Linked DNA regions of Diceros bicornis minor. The protein of the gene in region 1 purifies or fractionates together with the protein of each later gene. This does not show direct contact. Links are inferred from orthologs where the notes say so. Each region holds a gene or a part of one and is shown on either strand. Other genes may lie near its edges.

Region 1 (8,000 bases):
CCACTTCAGTGGCCCAGGTTCAGTTCCAGGCGTGGACCTACACCACTTGTCTGTCAGTGGCCATGCTGTGGTGGCAGCTCACATACAAAGAGGAAGATTGGCAGCGGATGTTAGCTCAGAGTGAATCTTCCTCAGGAAAAAAAAAAAAAAGATCAATTCTAGTCTAACCAACCACTGCATGTTGGACAATATCTCTAAGTGGCTGTTTAACTTAAATTTGAATACTTTTATTGGCAGGAAGCTTACCACATTCCAAGGTTTCTTATTCTATCTTTGGACATATCTCTTAGCATGTTTTTCATATGAGCTAAACTGTCTCCTTCAAGGTTCAAGTGTTCTCCTCCAGACTACAGAAAATAAACTTTATTTTTCTCTTCCAGATGAATGCCATTCACATATTTAAAATATCCCTGTTCCCTAAGACTTTGGTTAAGTCAGTAAAATTTTTTCAATGGAATCTAAGATAAAACTTATCTTTCATAAATTCCACTGCAGCAAAGAGTGACACGCCAATCTATTAATCCAGGATTAAATTACAGAGTATATGTGAATGTACAATGACAACTATGAAGCACTCTACAAACATAAGGAAAATTACTGGGTCTCCCAAATTAAATCATAAGCAACTGAAGTGTAGAAACTATGCCATATCTATTTTTTTAAAACCATACTTCTGTCTCCTGACAACACAGTATAATGCTATGTAATTCAGTTTAATAAAGGTTTACTGACTGCCTGCTATGTGCTAGGTACTATGTTAGGGATAAAAGATGAATTCATGCTCCTTACAATCAAAGAGCTTACAGTTTAGTGAAATGTACTATAATAACCAAGTATTTACTGAGCACCTTCAACACTAACTGGCATTATGTTTGGTGGAAGAACTAAGCATTCATTAACATGTTGAAGAAAGATCTTGGTGAGGGAGGGAGGAATCTCAGTCTCACTCAAATAAAAGGACCTGAACAACCCTTTACCCTCTTCTTTCTATTCATATCTTTACAAAGCTATAGCAAAATCAACAGCGAATGTGATAGACATGAAAGGAAAACAAGCTTACTTTTCTTAAAAAAACAAGGACACCGGGGCCGGTCCCCGTGGCTTAGCGGTTAAGTGCATGCGCTCCGCTACTGGTGGCCTGGGTTCGGATCCCGGGCGCGTACCGACACACCGCTTGTCCAGCCATGCTGAGGCAGCGTCCCACATACAGCAACTGGCAGGATGGGCAACTATGACATACAACTATCTACTGGGGCTTTGGGGGGAAAAAAGGAGGAGGATTGGCAATAGATGTTAGCTCAGAGCCAGTATTCCTCAGCAAAAAGAGGAGGATTGGCATGGATGTTAGCTCAGGGCTGATCTTCCTCAAAAAAACAAAACAAAACAAAACAAAAACAAGCACACAATCCAAAACAATTTCAAGATTTTAATTCAGTTCACTTAGAATTTATTCATCAAAGTTTCTTACTGCAGAGTGAGACTGGTGAGCTTTCAGGACTGGTTCAGCATCCACTGCTTTTTTAGCAACCATTAATTGTAACATCTGTTTCCGGTACTTGCTCATGATGAGTTCCAAAGCATCCTGATGTTCCTCCAAGGAAACCCATAGCTCTATCAAAAAATAAAATAACTTGGCAGTGATGTCTGAGAGATAACTCCCAAAGCCAAACTCTTAACAGTTGGAATTTTATGACACTCTATGAGATATTGTGAATTCAAAGTTGTAAATCTGCGTTTAGGTCCAAAAAACTCAACAGTTAAGGTCTACGTGAAAAATAACTTTCTGGCTAGTGGCAGCATAGTCTGGCAGAAACAAAATGAGATGTGGAATCAGAAGACATGGGTTTGAGTTCAGTTCTGTGAGTTACTAGCTTAATACTCAAGCAAACCATTTAACCTCTCTGAGCCTATTTTTTATCTATATTGTAATAATAAATACCTGGCTTGCCTACCTCAAAATGAAGATATGAGAATACAATGGGATGATACATGTGAAAGCCCTCTGTAAACTGATATACAAATAACTATTCATAGCCCTATCATAAATAATGTACTCATTCAAGCTTAAGACTACATACCCTGAAGATAAAATTCAGCTCTTCCACTTACACAAGAACCTAAAAAAACCTTCAGTCTTTAGTGTTTATTTCAATTAATATTTAAACATTAAGTTTTAAGCCCTTGAGGATATTAACGCTTTCGTTATGCAAGCCTCCACCTGGGGATGCCTAAATAAGCCACGCAGTAATTCAGCTCTACTAAGCATCTCTTTGATAAGCTGCCTATAAAAACAAAATCAGTCAGATGACATTGAAAAGGGTAATGTAACAAACTTCATTGTTTTGGGCCAGCGCAGTAACTTTTCCTATTAAAAGTACTGACCCGGAAATACATACAGCACGTGCACTTTTGTGAACAGTATGACACTTTTGTAAGAACCTTTGAAATATTACTGGATATGAGAAAATCATAGTAACTACAAAAAAAGTCCTGACTAACCTCTGTTTTCCTGCTGCAAGTCTCTAATCTGTGTATTCTCTTGGGAGAGCAGAATGTGAGGTTTGTATTTGGACAAGTCCTTTATATCGGATGCATCCTCTTGATACTGGACAAACAGAGACAGACTAAGTGCGCCGTCAACAGAACAGCCACAGATGCAAATGAAGAGGCAGGAGTCAGAGCTCCAGGGCAGCATTCTCAGCCCCGATCCCGCAGAAAGGTCTCACCGATGCCCTCTGAGACCAGGAATAAATTCCAGGCCGAGTTTCCATTTTACCTCGCCCTCCATCCCTCAAGTGCCCAGTACCTGAGGGCACGGACCCCTACCCTCTGCCTGACCTGGTCCGGAAGCGCTGTCCCCGCCTCCCGCATAGCGGCTACCCGCCGGTGCAGCGCCGCCGATTGATCCACCAGCGACTCGGCAGCTGCATCATGCTCCCGCAGTCTCTCCAGAAGCGTCTTAGCGTCTGTCAGGATCTTCTCAATGGTGCAGCTCATAGCTGCCACCCGACCCCAGCCCCACCTCTGCTCGCCTACCAGAATCGCTCAGATCCTCCCGCAACGTGTCTCAGCATTATAGACGTCACTTCCAGGTACGCTTAAAAGGCGCCTCGGCAGCTGCGATATGCGCCTGCGCAGTGGCAGCCTAGTCCGGGAGTGACCTGCTTTGACCGGCGGCTTTCTTGCGGCCTCGCCTTGCGGAGTGTCGGAGGCCTGGCCTTGCAATGCCCTTGGTTTCATGTTCCCGCAGCCTGGTGGTCAAGTTCAGTTATGGCTGGGCGGGCTGAGTTTCTCCTTTCCCTACTGGTTTTGATTGATGTAGATTGTTATTCAGTCGTCGTTCTTTTCTTTTTCGTTTAGTTTTTAAAAAATTGTGGTAAAATGCACATAAAATTTACCATCTTAACCATTTTTAAATGTACAGTTCAGTAATATTAAGTGCATTCGCACTCTTGTGCAACCATTACTATCTAACTTCAGAACTCTTCATCTTGCAAAACTGAAACTCTGTACCCGTTAAATACTAATTCCCTATTCTGCCTTCCTCCTAGCCCCTGGCAACCACTATTCTACTTTCTGGCTCTATGGATTTGACTGCTTTAGGTACCTTATGTAGCTGGAATCATATAAATCAGATATGTCGTTTTTGTGACTGGCTTATTTCACTTGGCATAATGTCATTAAGGGTCATTTATGCACATCAGCATTTCCTTTTTAAGACTGAATAATATTCCATCTTATGTATATCACATTTTGTTTATCCATTCATCCATCTATGGACACTTGGGTTGCTTCCACATTTTGACTATTGTGAATAATGCTGCTATGAAGAGAGGTGTACAAATATCTCTTTGAGTCCTTGCTTCCAATTCTTTTTGTTTATACCCAACAGTAGAATTGCTGAGTCATATAGTAATTCTATTTTTAAATATTTTTGAATGACCATACTGTTTTCCACAGTAGCTGCATTTTACATTTTCACCAACAGTGCATAAGGGTTCCAATTTCTCCATGTCCTTGTTGACACTTGCTATTTTCTGTTTTTTGGTTTCTGGGTTTTTTTGCAGGGAAGAAATTCATCCTGAGCTAACATCTGTTGCCAATCTTCTTCTTTTTTTCCCCTCCCCAAATCCCCACTGCATGGTTGTATATCCTAGTTCTAAGTCCTTCTAGTTCTCCTATGTGAGCTGCTGCCACAGCAGGGCAACTGACAGATGGGTGGTGTGGTTCTGTGACTGAGAAACAAACCTGGGTGGCTGAAGCAGTGAGAGCTCCACAATTTTGACCACTAGGCCATCAGGGCTAGCTCTATTTTCTGTTTTTTTGATAGCCATCTTAATGATTGTGAGATGGAGTCATTGCTATTTTCTGCTTGCTTTTTTTTTCCATTTTAATTCAATTAAGAAATTGGAAATAAATTTAACCAGAACAGTGATGACTTTTGTGCTATTTGTTATATGGGTTTATGATTTTACCTTGTCAAGCATGTATGTCAAACATTGTTCTTCTTCATTCATTACTATAATGAATATTTTGGGGGAACCTTCTTTGTTTCAGGCACTGTTTAGTGTCTGGGAATACACCAGAGAATGATACAAAGTCTCTGCTCTTAGGGAGTTTATATTCTAATGGGAGAAAGAGTTCATACTCTTACAAATGATTGAAAGTAATGACAGGATTAGGAGCCTGGTGAGAGGGGCAAGAGTGTCAGAGCAGTAGTGTGAGGTCAGAGAAGTGAGGGGAGAGAACTGAGCTTTTTGCCTTTGTATTCCCAGCAGCTGGCACAATGGAGACATTCAATAATTGTTTGTCAAGAGGGGGATAGGGAACAAATTCAACAAAAATAACAAATCAAGACAACTGACCAACAGGAAAAAAATTAATGCAGAGCCACAGAGGTAAAGAGGTTTCGTTCATTCACTAAAACAAAGCAAAACACTCTTCCTAAGTGATCTCTTTCACTTATTTGCCTTTGACTTCCATTGAGAGATGATGGTTCTCAAATCCGTCTGATCTCATTATCTTTGCTTCTAAACCTGCTCCTCCTCCTGTTTCAGTAAAGAGCACATTCATATACCTCTTTGCCCAAAAAAGAATCCTGGAAGTCATCTTCTATCCTTCCTACTTAGTGTTTACAATTAATCAGTTACCAAAGCAATCTATCTCCTTTATAGCTTTAGGACTTATTTCCTTCTTTGTATTCTCACTGCTATTGGGTATATTGGGCCGTCGTCCTTTCTCACCCAGACAAAGCAACAGTCTTCCAACTGGTCTTCTCCCTACCTCAAGTCGTCTCCTCGTCTACTAACTCTCCCCAAGGATACCACAACCCCTTGCTGCCTTTTCGGTGGCAGGTAATTATTATTCTCTGCCCACCCACGTTAGGGCTGAGAACTAGCCGGCTCATTCTAATTCCCTAATGACACTGCCAAGCAATTACTCTTACTTGCTTGTGTAAAACCTCCGTTTATTTGAAGCTTGTCTCATCCAGCTGGAGAATCTTCTGTCTCTCCTTATTGCTGTCAATTACTGACCTACTACCTTGGGTATTCTCCTTTTTTCATAGAAGATTTGAGGAGCTGGCTTACAATCTTTTTTATTACTTAACATTTTGCTCTCATCTTGGGTGACATTCATGTCCGTGTGGACAATTCATCTAATGTTCTATCCTTCCTTGTCCTCTTCCATTCTAGAGACATTCAATTTATTTGACCATCCATGGCCACACCCTTGATCATTCACTAAAAATTGTTTCTCATCAAAAATTTTAAGCTTTAATATCTAACTCTTTGACTGCAAACTTGGTTTCAATCTATCCAGTTCTTGCAACCCTTTCTGCCACTACTGTCTCTTTGACCTCATCCAGCTCTTTGATTTCTGAATATATCTATATTCTCCCCACCTATCAGACTTTTCTTGTGGTCTAATATTCTTTCCCTGACCAGACTGAGCTCTTGTGATTGGCAATCTGAGCCATCGTCTCTCTGGCACCTCTAATTCTTTAGCACTTTTCTTTTTAGACCAAATGCAAGCAGTAAACTCCAACCCTCGACCAATCTTAGGATTCCAGTAGTGATTAAAAGGGGATACAGAAATAAGGGAGAGTTTTTGTTTCTGCTTTTATTTTGTTTTTATGGACAAATCTTGAGCATGTTTATAGGCTTTATAGGGGAAGGATCCATTAGAGAAAGAGATATAAGAAAGTAGGGGGACATTTAAAGGAGGAAGAACCAGAAGGAGAAGGGACATAGTAGCTACTTAATAAATTTTTGCTGAATATTGATTGGGATGATGGACATAGGGTTAAGAATATAGGTGAAGTTGCTGGACTTGAATAGAAAAGAGACATTTCATTCTCCTTATTTGGAAAGAAAAATAAAAAGGGTAGGTACAACTATGGGTTATAGATGGGGAAACATGAAGATAAAGGAGTTCTAACCTTCAAGCCGTCCCAATACTTCTGTATCCCACCCATCAATAAACCAATAAGATAAGCTCAGGTACCTGTAGTGTTGTTCATGGAAATTAAACAAATTTCCCAAGACCTCTTTTGCTTGTTCTGACTTATTTCCATTTTGATCTAATTTCTATCGGCTCCTGTTTCTTGGCTCCATATCCTCCTTATTATTTCACTCTTACTCTTTGGGTCAGGAAGTGATTTTGGGTTTCCCTACCTTTATTCTCAGCTCTCAGACTGCCCTATCAGCAATTCCACTTTTGTCTCTCTCAGGGTATATACCTTATCCCAGTGATCCTCTGATGATCCAAATGCCAACTCTGACCCACAGGATAATGTTCCTGCCACAGTTACATGAATTCTAGTGGGGAGGGACTTGGAAATTTTACTGGAAATACCTCTTGTAGTACCATGCCCATTGCCATAGCCATACCACACAGATAGGATAACAGGCTTACTCCTGTCCCTGAACCTGTGAAACTCTGCCCAGAGATGTGGATGTACAGGACTCTGGGAGCAGATGGTGGTCCCAATGGTCCACACCAGAGGCAAGGGCAGAGATAACTTGACTTTACCTGGACCCTAGCACCCCCACAGCTCCTTTGAGTCATTGTCCACATATCCATACTGTACCTTGTTGATGCCACCCCTTTGATACTTCTGGAAAAATTTTGCAATAATTCAAAATGCAAATCTTTAGGGACACGTAGAATCTATGGTTAGGAAGTATAGATGTAAAGCATTCCATATTCCGTATTGTTTATTAAATACCCTATTTTGCTCCTTTGTGCTTCTCCACATCGTAAGCTTTGAGCTCTCAGACCAATTTTTTTTCCTGTTGCTGCTAACTAATGGCTTTCTAGGCCTTGGCCTTGAAAAACCACAGACCCTCATAATTACGGGTGAAAGAAATCTCAACAAGATAAGAAGAAATGTTTAGTCTTCTCCTAGAAAGCCAGAAAAGCAGATACTAGTTTGTATCATAAAACTTTCCTTATAAATGTAAATTCTAATTAAGAGACACCCTGACTTAGGAGATTGTTGTTGTGGCCTGTGAAAGTAACCTTTAACATCTAAAAAGTCTGTAATTCTGATTGATTGTCTTACTTAATAATTTGTTGCTCTGGTAATAATATTTAATGTGACATCCCTATTTTCTAAAAGGTAAAATATACTTTGTAGTGGGTTGAATTGTGTCTCCCCAAAAGATATGTCCAACTTAACTGCCAGTACCTGTGAATGTAACCTTACTTGGAAAAAGGATCTTTGCATTTGTAATTATGAAAAGGATCTTCAGATGAGATCATCCTGGATTAGGGTGAACCCTAAATCCAATGACAGGTGTCCTTAAGTGACAGAAAAGGAGAAGACACACAGAGACACACAGGGGAGAACGTCATGTGAAGCCGGAAGCAGAGATTCAGGTAATATGTCTATAAGCCAAGAAACACCAAAGATTGCCTACAACCATGAGAAGCTAGGAGAGAGGCATGGAACAAATTCCTTCAGAGCCTCCAAAGGATGTCAACCTTGCTGACGCCTT
Region 2 (7,473 bases), about 4.3 Mb from region 1:
TTATTAAAGACCAATAAGGAAAAAAACATCCCCAAATAGGGGCCAGCCCGGTGGCGTAGTGGTTAAGTTTGGCACGCTCCAGTTGGGTGGCCCGGGTTCGCAGGCTTGGATCCTGGTGCAGACCTACACCACTCATCAAGCCATGCTGCGGCAGCAGCCCACAAAGAAAATAGAGGAAGACAGGCACAGATGTTAGCTCAGGGCTAATCTTCCTCACCAAAAACAAACAAACAAAAAAACAAATAGAAAAAACAAAACCCAGCCAAATAATATGAAGGTCTATGCTTTACCTGAGAGCTCTGCAGCCCACTTATCAGTGTCAGCATATTCAAACTCGAGGTCTGGTGACTCAGAATAGCCCTGTTGAAAAAAAGAGAGAGAGTGACACAAAAAGTCATTGTGAGTGTTTTCCAAAGGAGGAAACACATATGCTTCCAGATACACTGCTGTGTTACACGACACCATCACCTCCACTCTTCTGATATTTTTTCGCAGTATTTTGTCTCATGGGCGAACTCAGGTCTCCCTATTAAGCCCTCTCGGAGCACCTTGCACTTTTCCTTTAGAGCACTTATCATAACTTATAATTATATACTGGCATGTATACTTGTTTAGTGTCTGCCTCTCCAAGAGACTGCAAGTTCCTTGAGAGTGGGAACTTTGTCCATTTTTCTCATCAATGATTTCACGATGCCCAGCACACTACTTGGCATGAATGAGTGAATGAATAGTTTATACTCAAAAAAATACTTGTTGGATGAATGAACACAAAGCTTCCATGCATTTTGTATAGTGAATGACCATTCTACATGGTGCTAAGATTCCGGAAGCCTCATTTCTTTCTTGCTAGTGGGCTACCAAAAGCTCAAGACAAAAATGAGCATCGACACTCTCAGCCTTCCTGCCTTTTTCTCAAACTTCAGGGAGAAGTGACAGACAGAGTAGGCAGCAGCCAAACAGAATGGCTCCCCTCCCAGACACAGGAGAGAATATGACAAAAAGAATCTTTTTACTGCTGGGGATAGGTGATCACTGAGAATATGCCATCTTGGAAGGCTTGTTCTGTGAAGAGAGAAGAAGTGAAGAAGTCCTCAGGTTTAATCACAATCTACTTGGGAAGACAAAGACCACCCACAAAATGCCCTAACATGCCCACAAACACTGAATGACATGAAGAATTCAACTCCTTATTCAGAGGCAACAGAATGTATACTTTCACAGGTTACTGAACTTATTTCTTCATTTATGGAACAGGGATGACAAAAATCCATCTTGAAGGTTTTTAAGGACTACTCAAAATTATGTAGCGCACAGTGGGCTCTCATCAAGTGTCAGTCTCCCTGTCCTCCAGGCATTGCTCAGGCTCCCAGCCTACTGATTTCAGCTATGACTCCAGAAAGAGCCCAGGGCAACATCAGCATCTCTAAGAAAACGAATTTAGACAGGTGTCTCAGCTTAAATGTGTTTACTGACCGACCTTCTACATTTTCAGTCTATATGGAAATTAAAGGATAGAAAGAGAAATTTAAATGTATCAAAGGGTGTTTATTTGACCATTCATGGCTACTTAGGAAAATTTAAAACTATTTTTAAACTATAACTCCTCTCATAATGAAGGTGGGTTCACCCCCACCACTTTCATAATCCTCTACACTTGAAAAATTATTAAGTAGTCTCCATTGATGTCCCATCACCCCACCAGGCACGGGCTCCTACAAGGTCAGTTTCACTGCTTTTTCAAATAATTCACTTCAAGCTCAAAGTATGTCTACTTTGGACTTGCCAAATTTTGACACGTTTTACCAGAGGTTTGCACTTGCCAACAAAAAACAAAAGCTTGAGAGGAACTGATTTCACAAGTCTAAAGAGAGTACTATCACGCTTTAGTATGACCTGGACATAACGTTATGCCTGGACAACGAGGAATTCCCTCTCATTCTTCAGCGCCTGACTGCTGATCAACCTCTGAGTTGTCTCAGGTGAAGGAGCCTCACAGTAAGCGCTTTAGGAACGTGCTGATTAAGAAGCCCTAAAACGCTGCGACGTGTGTCTTCATTCATGAATTCTACAATGGGAGGCAGTGGGAGTAATTCTTTAACTCGGGGTGAGGTGACTAGTCAGCTCCAAACTATGGTGTCTCCGGACCGGGAGGAACAGCCCACTAGCAAGAGAGGAGGGAATGCTGAGTTCTAATGTACGTTTAAAATGTATATTTCTGATCGGAGTTCAGCATCGGGCGCGCTGGGCACACCAACCACCAGGCACTGTCAAACCATGGCCCGAACCCGCCGTGGCTAAGGTCTGAGTGAACAGGGAAGGTTCCCTCCCTCCTACCCTAGCAGTCTCCGGGCGCGTAGTACTATTAGTGATAATGAGCTCCGTCCGGCTTCGCAGTGCCTGCCAAAGCGTGGCCAGGCCCTTCCCTGCCCACACACGCCGTCCCCCGCGCTGCGGAACCCACAGGACCAGAGGCGATTAGAAGTCGGGGTGCAGCCGCCCGGCCCCCTGCAGCGCACGCAGACCACTGACTCTTCACCCCCGAACTGGGAGCGGGGCGGCTTCCCCAGGGGCTGGGGCCCCGAGGCCGCGCCCACAGCCCCAGCCCCAGAGGAGCAGTCACCGGCTCCGGAGGTTCTCCCGGGCGGCGGAGCTCGGGGCGGGGACCCCGGCCTCGCGCCCCCGGCCCCGGGGATGCCAGCCGTGCTTCCTGCTCCTCTCGCTGTAAAATAACAAGTCCCCTGCCGGGCCCTACCGAACCCTCTGAGAAGCCCACCTCGGATCAGAGAGCGGCCCCGGACCCGGGCCACCCGCCGCCGCCGCCCGCCGCTAGCCTCGCCCCCCCGAAGCTCCTGACCTCCGAGTCTTTGCGCTGGTTGCGGTTGAACTCTCGGGCTTTGCCCCCAGGCAGCAGACCCCCGGCGGCCCGCGGTGCCCCGGGTGGAGGCTGCGCGGTTGCTGGCGGCGGAGGTGGCGGCGGCTGGGGCTGCTTATTGTTCAAGATCAGCGAGCCGGGTCCGCCGGCTGCCGGCTCCATCTTGGCTGCTCCACACCCCCGGCTTAATTCGCGGACAGTAGCCGCGATACAACTCTCGCGTGATTTCCTCCAGGAACGCTCCCTGGTCGCCATATTAAGTGTGGCGGCAAGTGCCGGAAGCCATATTGACTGCCCAACACCTCGTGAGATTCTGCGTGAAACGTTATTCTTCTCGGGCCAGTTCGTTTCCACTGCTTTTTCAGTACCGGCTTAGTTGTTTTATTTGTGCGGCCTCCCTTAGCTCCTTCAATCAGTTTAGTCTCCCTTTCCTTTCTTTAACATCGTTTTGCACTTGTCGCTGTTACAGCCCTGTTGAAAGCTTAGGGGATACAGTAGTGAACAAAATGGACACCATCCCAGTCTTCACGAGTTGACATCTACTTGGAGAGGTATGCTAAGCAAATGAATAAATCAATAAAACAATTACAGTTGTGACAAATATTTATTCATCGTTCATTCAAAAAACATTTAGTGAATGTCTTCTAGCTCCAGGTAGTGCGATAGAAGGGAGAATAAATCAAGTTCCTGCCCTCATGGTGCATAACATACTGCCTGGTGGGAGAGACAAACAGTGAGCACGCAAATATAATGTTAGACAAACAGGTGCTGAGAAGAAACAAAAAGAAGTGTAAGGGATTAGAAGGTGGCAGCGCTGGTGGGGGCGGGGGATGGCTATATTAGGCTGCCCCAGGAAGGCAGGCCTGAGAGTGCGATTTTGAATGAGTTCTGAAAGAAGTGAGAGCGGTGCAGAGATCCACAGAGGCAACACGGGCAGAGGGACCAGATAACTGCAGAGGCTCTGGGTTAGTGTGCTAAGAACTGAGTGAGCCAGGGGAAGAATAGTAGGAGATGAGGGCCAGGTAATGCATGAGCCAGATAAATGCAGGGCCTTAAAAGTCATGGAAAGGAGTTTGGATTTTATTCTAAGTGAAATGGGAAACAATGAGAGGATGTTAACCAGGAGGGTGTCATGGTCTGATGTTTAAAAGACCAATCTGGCTGCTTTTGGAGAAGGGATTGGAGAGTTGCAAGAGTAGGTGAGGGTAATCGGGTTAGGAGACTATATAGATGGAAATAATAGTGCCTTGCATCAGGGTGGAGTTTTGGGTTGATATGATATTTTTATATTGTGTAAATAGATTCAACAGGATTTGCTGAAAGGCTGGAATCCTATCAGCAGGATGGAGAGGAATAAAGGATGAGTCCTAGATTTTTGGCTTGAGCAAGTGGGTGGGTGGTTGTATTACTTATTAAAATAAAGAAGTCTGGGAGAAAAAAAACAGGTTGAGGGAGAAGATCAAGATTTCTGTTTGGGACATGTCATATTTGAGATGCCCGTTAGACATCTTAGAGGTGATGTGTAATAATTACGCGTTACTGTGCTGTGAGATCCTTAAAGGCATTTTATTATCTTTGTCTCTCCAGAACTACATCTTGGCTGCTCCACACTCCCAGCTCAATTCTAGGAAAGTCGCTGTGGTGCAACTTTTGCATGATTTCTACCAAGGTCCCACCTAGTAGGTGCTTTAAAAGTCTTTTTTTGTAAAATAATGAATAAATCCAAAACCACCATGTTGCTACTTCCTCCTACCTAGCTTCCTGTTCTTTGCCTCTATTCCTTCTCAAATCTAGTCATACACTTTGTAAATTAGCATTTCATCCAAACTAGGCTGGGCCAAGCTGATAGGAAAAACTAAGGAATTTGCAGGAAAAGGACCAGTGCTGAGAGGCTTCTTAGATAAAATCAGCAAATCCCACACGACCCAACACACAAATGATGTTTAGTTTTAGTGACCACAGTTTGGACAAGTTCTAAGACTGACCTACCATAAGCTCTATCATCTGGGAAAAAAAAATTTAGACCTTTAAACACTGTACACTGCTTCAGCTACATTCAGAACAAGAAAGGTTTGGGTTCAGCAATTCCACTTGTAGTAATAAATCCTAAGAAAATAATCAAAGATTTAGACAAAGATATATGTATGATGATGTTCCAGGCAGTGGTATTTTCAATAGTGTAAAGTTGCGACCAACCTAATCTGAGAAATAGCCAATAAGAAAATGGCTAACTAAATAATGGGGTATGCATAAGATTGAATATAGAGAAGCCATTAATATTTGTGTTTAATATTAAGAATTTTTAGTGACATGGCAAAATGCTTATGATATAATTGAATGTACAATTGGTTCTGTGTGTGTGTGTGTGTGTGTGTGTGTGTCTATGTCTATGTGTAGAAAAGAGACTGGAAGGAAATATACCAGAAACTTAGTAGGTTTTATTTCTGGATGTTGGAAACATAGGTTATTTTCATTTCCTTCTTTATACTTTTCTGTGTTCTTGGAATTTTTATAATCAATGTGCTATTTTTATTAAGGTATAATTTATACTCAATAAACTGCACATGTTCAAAGTATACAATTTGATGTATTTTGACATATGTAAACACCATAAAATCATGACCACAATCAAAATAATGAACATATCCATCACCCCCAAAAGTTGCCTGTGCCCCTTGGTAATCCTCCCTTCTACTCATTACTGTGCCCCTCTCTCATTTCTAGTTAACCACTGATAAGCTTTCTGACACTTAGATTAGTTTGCATATTCTCCAATTTTACATAAACAGAATCATACAATATGTATTCTTTTTTGTCTGAATTCTTTCACTCAACGCAGTTATTTTGAAATTCATCCATCTTGTTACATGATATTAATAGTTCATAAATAGCATCCCATTGTTTATCCAGTCACCTGTTAACAGACATGTGGGTTGCTTCCAGTTGTTCTGGCTTGTTCAAACTTAATATTGAGAGGTAACAAGCCCTTTTTATAAAAACTGTCTGAGCCTGTGTGGAAACCTTTCCTGAATGAAATGCAGTGTCTCCAAGCTGTGACTAGCTCAAGAATTCTAAATAGGAGAGCTACTTATTTTATTTATTTATTTTTTTGTGAGGAAGATCAGCCCTGAGCTAACATCTGCCAATCCTACTCTTTTTGCTGAGGAAGACTGGCCCTGAGCTGACATCCGTGCCCATATTCCTCCACTTTATGTGGGACGCCGCCACAGCATGGCCTGACAAGCAGTGCGTCAGTGCATGCCCGGGATCTGAACCCAGGCCGCCAGCAGTGGAGCACGCGCACTTAACAGCTATGCCACTGGGCCGGCCCAGGAGAGCTACTTAAATTGGCATCACTTTTGAGTCCCAAAGAGTCCTCCCTTTACTCTGGCAAAAACTCCTTGAACTATACTCCATTTGGCTTCTGGTAGGAAAAAGGATTCCAAATGTGAAGGAGCTGAAGCACAGCTGGAGAACTCACTCTTCTCCATTTGCTAAGAAACTTGCAGAAAAGCACAGCCCCATAGAGGGTAGAAGTTGCAGAAACGCCTTCATGCAGTTCTTTTCCTTCTTTCCTCATCTGTAAAATGAGGATAATCCCACCTGTCTTATGAGGCTATGGATCAAATGAGCTAATTTATGTGAAATCATTTTGAAAACTGTAAAGCATTGTTTTTTCAAAAAAGAGAATTATTATTACCAAGAGGTGAAGCCTAAGGTGAGAAGGCCCTTCCTTCACCATGAGCAGTCATGGTTCAAGAGACTGGAAGTGAAATGTTATATTTGAGACATTGTAGCATTGCAAGGGCTCCACCGAGAACAGGGTGGTTGTTCCAGCGGGCTCTGTTGAAGGAAATTGGCACATACTGTGTTCTTATAGGATGTCAGGTACTGGGCAAGATGTTTCACATCCATCCATACCTGAGTGCGTGCTGGCAGACAAAGTGAGCCTGTTTCTGGCATTTTCCATCTTAGCCCTGGTCAAGATATTGCTAGTCACTGAAATGCTCAATATTAAAGTTATGACTCCTGGAGCATCTATGGGCAGATCTTCCCCTCTAGTTGTAGTGCCATGTGGAGTTCTCTCCATTAATGACTATGAGAAGAGGAAAAGATTAATAATATTTTAGGTAGGTGGTTAATAGGGCAAATATCATTAATCCTATCTTCCAAAGGAATCAGTCAGCTTAACTCTGTCCCAGGTCGGATTACTTTATAACCTCCTAGCCTTCTTACATATAGATTGGATTAGTCAAAAGAGGACCCAAATATACATCCAGTGGCTGATTTGACATCTCACGTGGAAGTCTAATGGGCGTTTCAAACTTAATATGCTACAGACAGAACTCTGTATTCTCCCTTTCTTGCGCCAAAATCTGCTCTTCTCCTGCTTTTCCTTAGGATCTAAATAAATGGTATTACCGACTACCCATTTTTCTCAAGGCAAAACCTAGGACACATCCTTGATTCCTCTCTTCTTCACCCCTCACATCTAGTTCACCAGTGACTCTCTCACCAAAACATATTCTGGAGCTCCCTATTCATGACCATTGCCACTCTAGTCTTCCCCACTTCCTCTCCTGGTACCCTATAACCAGTTC
Region 3 (7,402 bases), on another chromosome or scaffold:
ACATACACACAAAACTGCAACAAAAGTTTAATAAAGTAATATTTACCATTACTATATGCAATGTACTGATATTTTCTATTCCATTTCTTAAAAAAAAAGTTGGTCTCAACTCACAGGTTACCCTCCACAGTTTGAAAAAAACTGTTTTAAATTGCATACATCCTTTAAATTTAATGTATTGAACTACATTTTATGAAAAACTCACTTCAAAGCCCTGAATTTTCCTCATTTTGCCACAAACCAGTTAAAACTTTGTCAAGGACTTTGAGAACCAATTAAACCAGGGGATCTGGCTGAAAGAGGCCTGAGGTGAATCCTTTGGTTAGGTTAAGAATCTTTTTATTGGGGCCGGCCCTGTGGCTTAGCGGTTAGGTGTGCTCTGCTGCTGGTGGTCCGGGTTCGGATCCCGGGCGCGCACCGACGCACCGCTTCTCCAGCCATGCTGGGGCCGCGTCCCACATGCAGCAACTACAAGGATGTGCAGCTATGACATACAGCTATCTACTAGGGCTTTGGGGGAAAAAAATAAATAAATAAAATTATTTAAAAAAAAAGAATCTTTTTATTAAGCAAACAATTATTCTCTAGCTTCCTTTTTAGGCTAGGATGTTCATACACTAAACCATTGGGAGAGGGTAGGTCAACAGTGCCCCTATAAACAAGTGATGTACGAGGAGGCTCTCTTGACTTGTGCCAACAGTAATTCTCTTCCAGTAATTCTTTAGAAGCCCCAGAGAGGAAAGAAAACCATCACCCCTGAGGACTATCTTCCATAGGAAAGCAAAAGGGAGGGATGGAAGGAATAGCACACAGTCATCTGAGTCTGGCACCTGGGTGTTGTGGTGATAGGGGATGTGCTGACAGGTAAACGCAGCTCTCCTGCTGCAGTAGGGTGGAGGAAAGCTAATCTTTCCAGCCAGCCTTTTGGCAGGCCATGGGCCCAGATGGAGAGCATCACTGCAGTTCTTCATTTCCAAGCATGAAATGCAGCTGCAGACAATCAGGAGGTAAACTGCAGTGCAGGTGGAAAGCTATGAGTCTCTGGATACTGAACTCACTGGCAAAAGTAAAGTACAACCACAGCCTTTTCCTGAAGGAAGACGATAGGTAAGGAAAAGGCATCCTATTTCTGGAGTTTTAATTCCCCCAAAGAACATTTCATTCTGAAATTATTTTATTTACTTGCATATACCCTGTCTCTCCACCCTAACTAGAATGTTAGCTCCACAGGGCAAAGACCTTGCCTTGTTCACTGCTACATCCCTAGCACCTAAAACAGTGCTGGGCATATAGAAAGGACTTGATAATTGTTGAATTAATGAATGAGTCATCCCCCCCAAAAAAAAAACCATTTGAGCAAGAACAATGTCTCTATGGGGGAAGAAGGCACAGGGTGCCCTAAAAGGCCAGATTCATACTGAGGTAGGGAGGGAGATGATGTGGTGAATAGAACCCCGATCTAGCATGACAAGAGGGCTGAGCTCTGCCTCTGAAAAGTGATGTCACTTTGGGCCAGTCTTTTTACCTCCTCCTCTTCTCTCTTTTAAAAAATGGGATGGATTCCTACTCGTTTGTACCAAAATGGAAAGCATACATGAAACCCCTTGGGAAACTGTGACATACTATTCAAATGGTAAACTGTGGACTGGGACACCTAAGACCTGGCTTCTAGTACCAGCTCTGCCCCTTGATGATGATGATAATACAATACTAAGAGCTACCATGTATTGACCAATTACATGCACTGTGCCTGCACTGAATTTAACATTTTACATTCAATTATCGCATTTTGACCTTATCACAACCTTCTGAGGTAGATAGCATTAACCTCATTTTAAGGATGAAAAAACCGGGGAAAAGAGAGGTTTGGCAATTTGCCAAAAGTCCCAGAGAGCGTAAACGATAGGGCTGGGATTCAAAACCTGGTCTGAGTGACCCCAAAGCTTTGTACTCCTGGCCACTACGCCAGATGTATGATTTTGAACAAGTTACTTCTGTCTCTTTTACTTCCATCAAAGAAAGGGCTAAAACCAGATGATCCCTACAGACCCTTCCACACCTGACACTTTGTCGTCTATTCTGATCCCCACTCAGATCCACATCTACTCTTGGCTAGTTGATGGAAAGTGGCTGGATGAGGGAGTGGGGGAGTGACGATAATTCACTCCTTTCGTCTTCCTCGTTAGGATTTCTTTTCAGAAGAAGAGGAAGCGACCCAAACATTCATACTCCTATCCGTGGGTTTGTATGCTGGAACAGTTCCATCCACTCACTCCTGTACGGCCCCCGCCTGAATCCTGTCTCATGAACCCTTACAGGCGGGGGTCCCGATGTCCGCGGAAGGCGCTCCCTAAAGGACCTGCCAACACACAGGGACAGGAGCAGGGCAGAAGTCACGCGGCACATCTGGATCGGCTCCGCTGGACTCCTCGGGGCGGGAGGGCGCTGCCCCCGCGCCGGGCCGTCTTTACTGCGGCGGAGCCCCGGCCTCCCACCCCTCAGGCCAGCCCCTTAACCTCTCCGCGCCTGCTTCCTCCTCGGAAATCGGTGATACGAGTCCCCACTCCAAGGGGCTGCAACGATTAAGGGAGACAAATATCTGAAAAGTATCTGGTACGCTCGATCTCGCGCTACATCTTCGCGCCCCTAGAGGGGAGGCCAGAGGGCTAGAAAGCCCCGACCCGCGGCAGGAGACGGCCGGAGAGGGGTCAGCGGCTGCAGAGCCCCGGGTCCAGGCTGCGGCTGACCCCGCAGGCGCCAGTTCCGAGGAGTGGCCCGAGGAGCGCCGGGGGCTCCGGGCGGGGGACGGGGCCGAACCACCTCAGCCACCGCTGCCCGCCCGCGGGCGTCTCCCGGCGCCAACTGAAGCTCTCCGGGCTCCTCACCTCCGACTCCCGCCGCTGACTTCTGAACGCTTCCCGACCCTTAGGGGCCGCCGGCTTCCCTTTGCCATTGCCGTTGCCGTTGCCACTGGCGGGCGGGCTCCCGGCCCCGGGCGCCGCGAGGTCCTCCATGCAGCTCGGAGCCGCGGCTCCCCTCAGCGGCTCTACGCTCTCTGCCCGGGGCGACCCCTTCGCCGCGCGCCGGCGGCCAGACTCCGCCGCCTCCGCAGCTATTGGCTGCGACCGCTCCCCGCAGCCCCGCCTCGCGGCGCGATTGGCTGTTCGACCTCTCGGAGCGGGACTAGGAAGAGGTGGGGGCTCATTCAAGGGATTTTTTTTTTCTCCTTTTTTTCCCCCCCAAGTACTGCGGCGTTGCCGGTAGCAGTAGCCTCCTGGGTTGGCTACCGGCTCCACCTCCCGAATTCTGGGTCTTGAGCTCAGGCGGATTATTGATTTGCTTCTCACTCAGTGTCCCTCAGCACTCACCCCCTCCCAAATAGCGACCTTTTCGGGGAGCTCTATCTCCGCCTCCTGCTCCGCTGCAGTCTCCGTTTTCCCACTACCACAGACCTCTATCCCCGCTCCTGCATACCTCCCAAATGCCGCTTCAGTCGCAGGGGAGGGATGGCACTGCCGGGGGCCGGGGACACCGCAAGAAACGAAGGACTCGCCGTCTCTGAAAGCTGAGATTTCTGACGAGAATTCATCCCTCCTGGAGTGAGGGCTCGGCTGGGAGACTGGGTAGAGGGGTGGGGTGGGGCGTTTTCATTTCACTGAGACTGCTGGTGCCCTTCAGGGCTGCTCCTGGTCATCTGCCTTTCTCTGCTGTAGGGGGGCACCTTCCTCATGCTGTGAGCTACAGTAAATGTTGAATGGAGAGCAAGTCCCCACCTCCACCCGCTCCCCAGTCCATTCCTTCCTTCCTCTAAGATCCTTCCTAACGGCTCAGCGTTAACTGGGGCAAACGAGGCTGTGTGGTCTGCCCGTTCAGAAATTTATCTAAAAAGCAACTTACAGTAAATATTTAGGCAGTCTGGGTTGGTAACAGAAGCCCCAAACAAGCAGCCTGAGGGGAGTGAGTGGGACCAAATGGGTGGGATTGGGGGAATAATGTTGAACTGCTACTTTGTTCCAGGCATTGCACTAGGCACTTTCCAGATGTCATATCATGCCTCTCTCTGACAGGTTGTTTTCACTAATCCAATACTACTGTTGAGGAAACCAGGACGCACGGAGATTAATTATTCCTTGCAGTTCCCAAGGTATCATCTTCTATTTTTCTCAGTGTCTTTGCATAGGCAGTTCTCTCCGGAGGAAACTTTCCATTCTTCTCTTGGCTAACCTCTATTCTTCCTTAAAGGTTCTATTTAGTCATCACCTCCTCCTCCAGAAAGACATCCTTTTGACTCTCCTCAACCCACTCCCACAACCACAACCCAACCCACAACCACAAGGTGTGTTGGTGTCATGCCAGTTCTGCCTGGATGCAAAATCCTTATATTTTCTACTATATCCCCAAAGTAGGAGGCCCAAAGGAAATACTGCCCCTTCCTATATCTTAGGGACAACTCTGTCCCTTTCTTAACCATATCTCACCCTCACACTTTTCTCTGCTAGTCAGTAGGTGACAGATCAAGACAGTTGAGAGAGAGAGAGGGTGCAAGCACTTCTTGGAGCTTTCTGAGTTCCTTTCTCTCCCTGGTCCCCAACATCTCCTTACTGTACCCACCACCGTTTTCCCTTTCCTCTCTCATTCCCACACACACCCCACAACCTGGAAATAAGCTCCTTGAGAGCAGGGCCAAGTTTTGTTCATTTTTGTACACCCTCATATGTGCATATTTAAAACAGGGTCTCTGTACTATGGACTGAAAAATTATTTGTTGTGGAGGGCTGTCCCTTGCATTATAGGACGTTTAGCAGAATCCCTGGCCTCTCCTCACCAGATGCCAGTAGTACTCTCCCCCTAGCTGTCACAACCAAAAGTGTCTCCAGATATTGCAAAATGTCCCCTGGGGGGCAAAAATCTGCAGTTGAAACCCACTAGTTTAACAGAATTGAATTGATATGAATTTCCAAGAAAGTCCTTGGCTCAAGGACTACATTATTTGATTTTGGAACTTTTTTCAGGGTATAATTTGTTAAACTCTTAAAGATTCATACTCTGCTTTAAAATTCACAACCCACGCCTAGCTCATCACTGCTTCAGTGTGATAAACCTGCCACAGCACAGCCCATTGGGGTTTCTTAATAAAAGAATTAATTATTTTACCTCCCTTCTTCCCAATACCTCTCTTCCTAAGCAGTCAGAGCTCTAGAACTGACTGGGTCAGAAATTCGTATTTTCTTTTGTGAGCCTAGTCAATCAGCAGGATCCCCAATAGTGGTGGCAGACAGGAGTGGCCAGTTTTGTTCCTGTTCCAGCCTATCCCAAGGGCAAAGGGAGCAGAGTGATCTTCAATTGGGAAGTAGGCTTGAGGACAGCTCTCAAGGCCCCACTGGCCTCTATGTAAAGCCAATTGCTGAGCCTAGAGCTCCATCTGGCTTCACTTTCAGAGAAGGGGTATGAAAAATTGGTGCTATGGAGATTGCAAAGAATCAACACGAGGAAAGACCTCAGTCCCAGTGGAATGGGTGATAGTAAACATCGACATCTATCTGCTCAGTATAGGCCCAGGCTTTCAGAGTTTGTCAAAAGGAAGAAGATACCTGGAAACAACTCCTGGAAGATGTAACAAGAAACCAGAGATTAACTGAAAACTTTGAAACTATAGGCCCTGGAATTGGCCCACACTCAAATTCTTTGAGCTTATTTGTCAACAAAGATGTGACAGTCATCAATACTATTGACCACAGAGGCACCTATAAATATACCTGGGAGCTAATTAGTCAGGGGCTGGTCTACAAGTTTTTCCATTTTGCAGAGATGGCTCCAGTGCAGAGCCTACACTACCTACACTACCACTTGCCCCTGTCTCAAAACTCAGGTATTCTGAGGCTGCTGGTAGAGAATTTGAGGTATAGTTATAGTTACAAGGACCAAACATACACTTTTCCACCTGTAAGCACTCCACTTAAACCACAGTCAGATACTTGATTAAATAGATAGTAACCAGTAAGGAGAAAGCTTAAAAATAAGGTGCAGGAATTCTTAAAACACCTAGTTTTTGAGGATATTGGGCAACCAGGATAATGTAGTAGAAATAGCATAGAACACCCTCCTCACCACAGCAAGGGCACATGTGGGTATAATGAGGCAATGGAGGCTGTAGGGCCCTAGACTGAGACAAGGAATTGTCTGACTTCTTTGTTGCATCTTGCATACAGATGTAGAACTAGTTTAGGTTGTCAACTAAAGAAGATGGCTATCAGAAGGCTACTCAAAAATGGCTACTCTACTGGTAGTTGAGAAGGAACAGGCAGTTGAACTCATTCTCTGGTTACTGATTTAGTCAGGCAAAACCTGACAAATCTCTGCCAGATTCATTTCTGTCTTCTCTTTGGTTGGATGTAGTCAGGTCCTGGGTATCAGGTCTTTTGATCCCAAAACATGGCTTCCTGTGCTCTCCAGCTAAGGGCAGCACACAGAGGGCTTGGGGGACCTAAAACCCGGCTTTAGTTTCTCTTCCTTAAGCCTATACTTCTCTGGCTGGCCCCATGGCTTAGTGGTTAAGTGCGCGCGCTCCGCTACTGACGGCCTGGGTTCGGATCCCGGGCGTGCACCGACGCACCGCTTGTCCGGCCAGGCTGAGGCCGCGTCCCACATACAGCAACTAGAAGGATATGCACCTATGACATACAACTATCTACTGGGGCTTTGGGGGGAAAAAGAAGGAGGAGGATTGGCAATAGATGTTAGCTCAGAGCTGGTCTTCCTCAGCAAAAAAAAAAAATGAGGAGGATTAGCATGGATGTTAGCTCAGGGCTGATCTTCCTTACAAAAAAAAAAAAAAAAGGCTATACTTCTCAACTCCCCAGGGCAGTGGTTCTGAGAAAGCAGATTCTTTACACACATAACCGGCGGGTCAGGGGAAATGTTTATCGGTAGAGTGGACCACCACAGAATAACGAATTCAAGGCTAAGGCCACTCAAACGTGCCTTTCAGTAACTACTTCCGCTTTTTACATCCTTGCCCTGAAGCAGGCTCTTCGGCCTCTTGCCCAGAAACCTCTCTCATCTCTGAATTCCTAGTTAACAGAAGCAAGGAATAATCTCAAGACAAGAATCCACTCGAAGAATATTTTATTTATCTTTTGAGATTACATAGTCATTATTGCTGATCTAATCAATCACTTAGACATAAAGATTTCCAAGAGCCTCTCAGAAATGGTGATCCTTAGAGGTTTTATTTCCTTTCAGTAAGATGACAGCAAGAACTAGATGATTATATATATATATATGTGTGTGTGTGTGTGTGTGTGTGTGTGTGTGTATGTATATATATAGTTTAGAATTTGTCCACATACAATTTGCTGGTGTTGCCTATTTTCTTTCCATAATTTTCCTTTATTAAAAAAGC

The links.
Region 2: the proteins of SIKE1 (region 1) and STRIP1 purify together in Homo sapiens (affinity purification with mass spectrometry; 3 studies listed by BioGRID and IntAct, with this or other methods). This does not show direct contact. The link is inferred for Diceros bicornis minor from reciprocal best matches to the Homo sapiens genes SIKE1 and STRIP1.
Region 3: the proteins of SIKE1 (region 1) and STRIP2 purify together in Homo sapiens (affinity purification with mass spectrometry; 3 studies listed by BioGRID and IntAct, with this or other methods). This does not show direct contact. The link is inferred for Diceros bicornis minor from reciprocal best matches to the Homo sapiens genes SIKE1 and STRIP2.

Annotation. Positions count from the first base shown.
Region 1 is NC_080743.1:47,414,628-47,422,627, forward strand, and holds the start of SIKE1 (suppressor of IKBKE 1), read right to left. Parts: upstream 3,041-8,000; 5' UTR 2,998-3,040; coding exon 2,839-2,997; intron 2,606-2,838; coding exon 2,500-2,605; intron 1,612-2,499; coding exon 1,469-1,611; intron 1-1,468.
Region 2 is NC_080743.1:43,080,096-43,087,568, reverse strand, and holds the start of STRIP1 (striatin-interacting protein 1), read right to left. Parts: upstream 3,035-7,473; coding exon 2,855-3,034; intron 361-2,854; coding exon 291-360; intron 1-290. UniProt on the Homo sapiens protein: Plays a role in the regulation of cell morphology and cytoskeletal organization. Required in the cortical actin filament dynamics and cell shape. Part of the striatin-interacting phosphatase and kinase (STRIPAK) complexes.
Region 3 is NC_080742.1:78,071,292-78,078,693, reverse strand, and holds the start of STRIP2 (striatin-interacting protein 2), read right to left. Parts: upstream 3,015-7,402; coding exon 2,886-3,014; intron 1-2,885. UniProt on the Homo sapiens protein: Plays a role in the regulation of cell morphology and cytoskeletal organization. Required in the control of cell shape. Calmodulin-binding scaffolding protein which is the center of the striatin-interacting phosphatase and kinase (STRIPAK) complexes.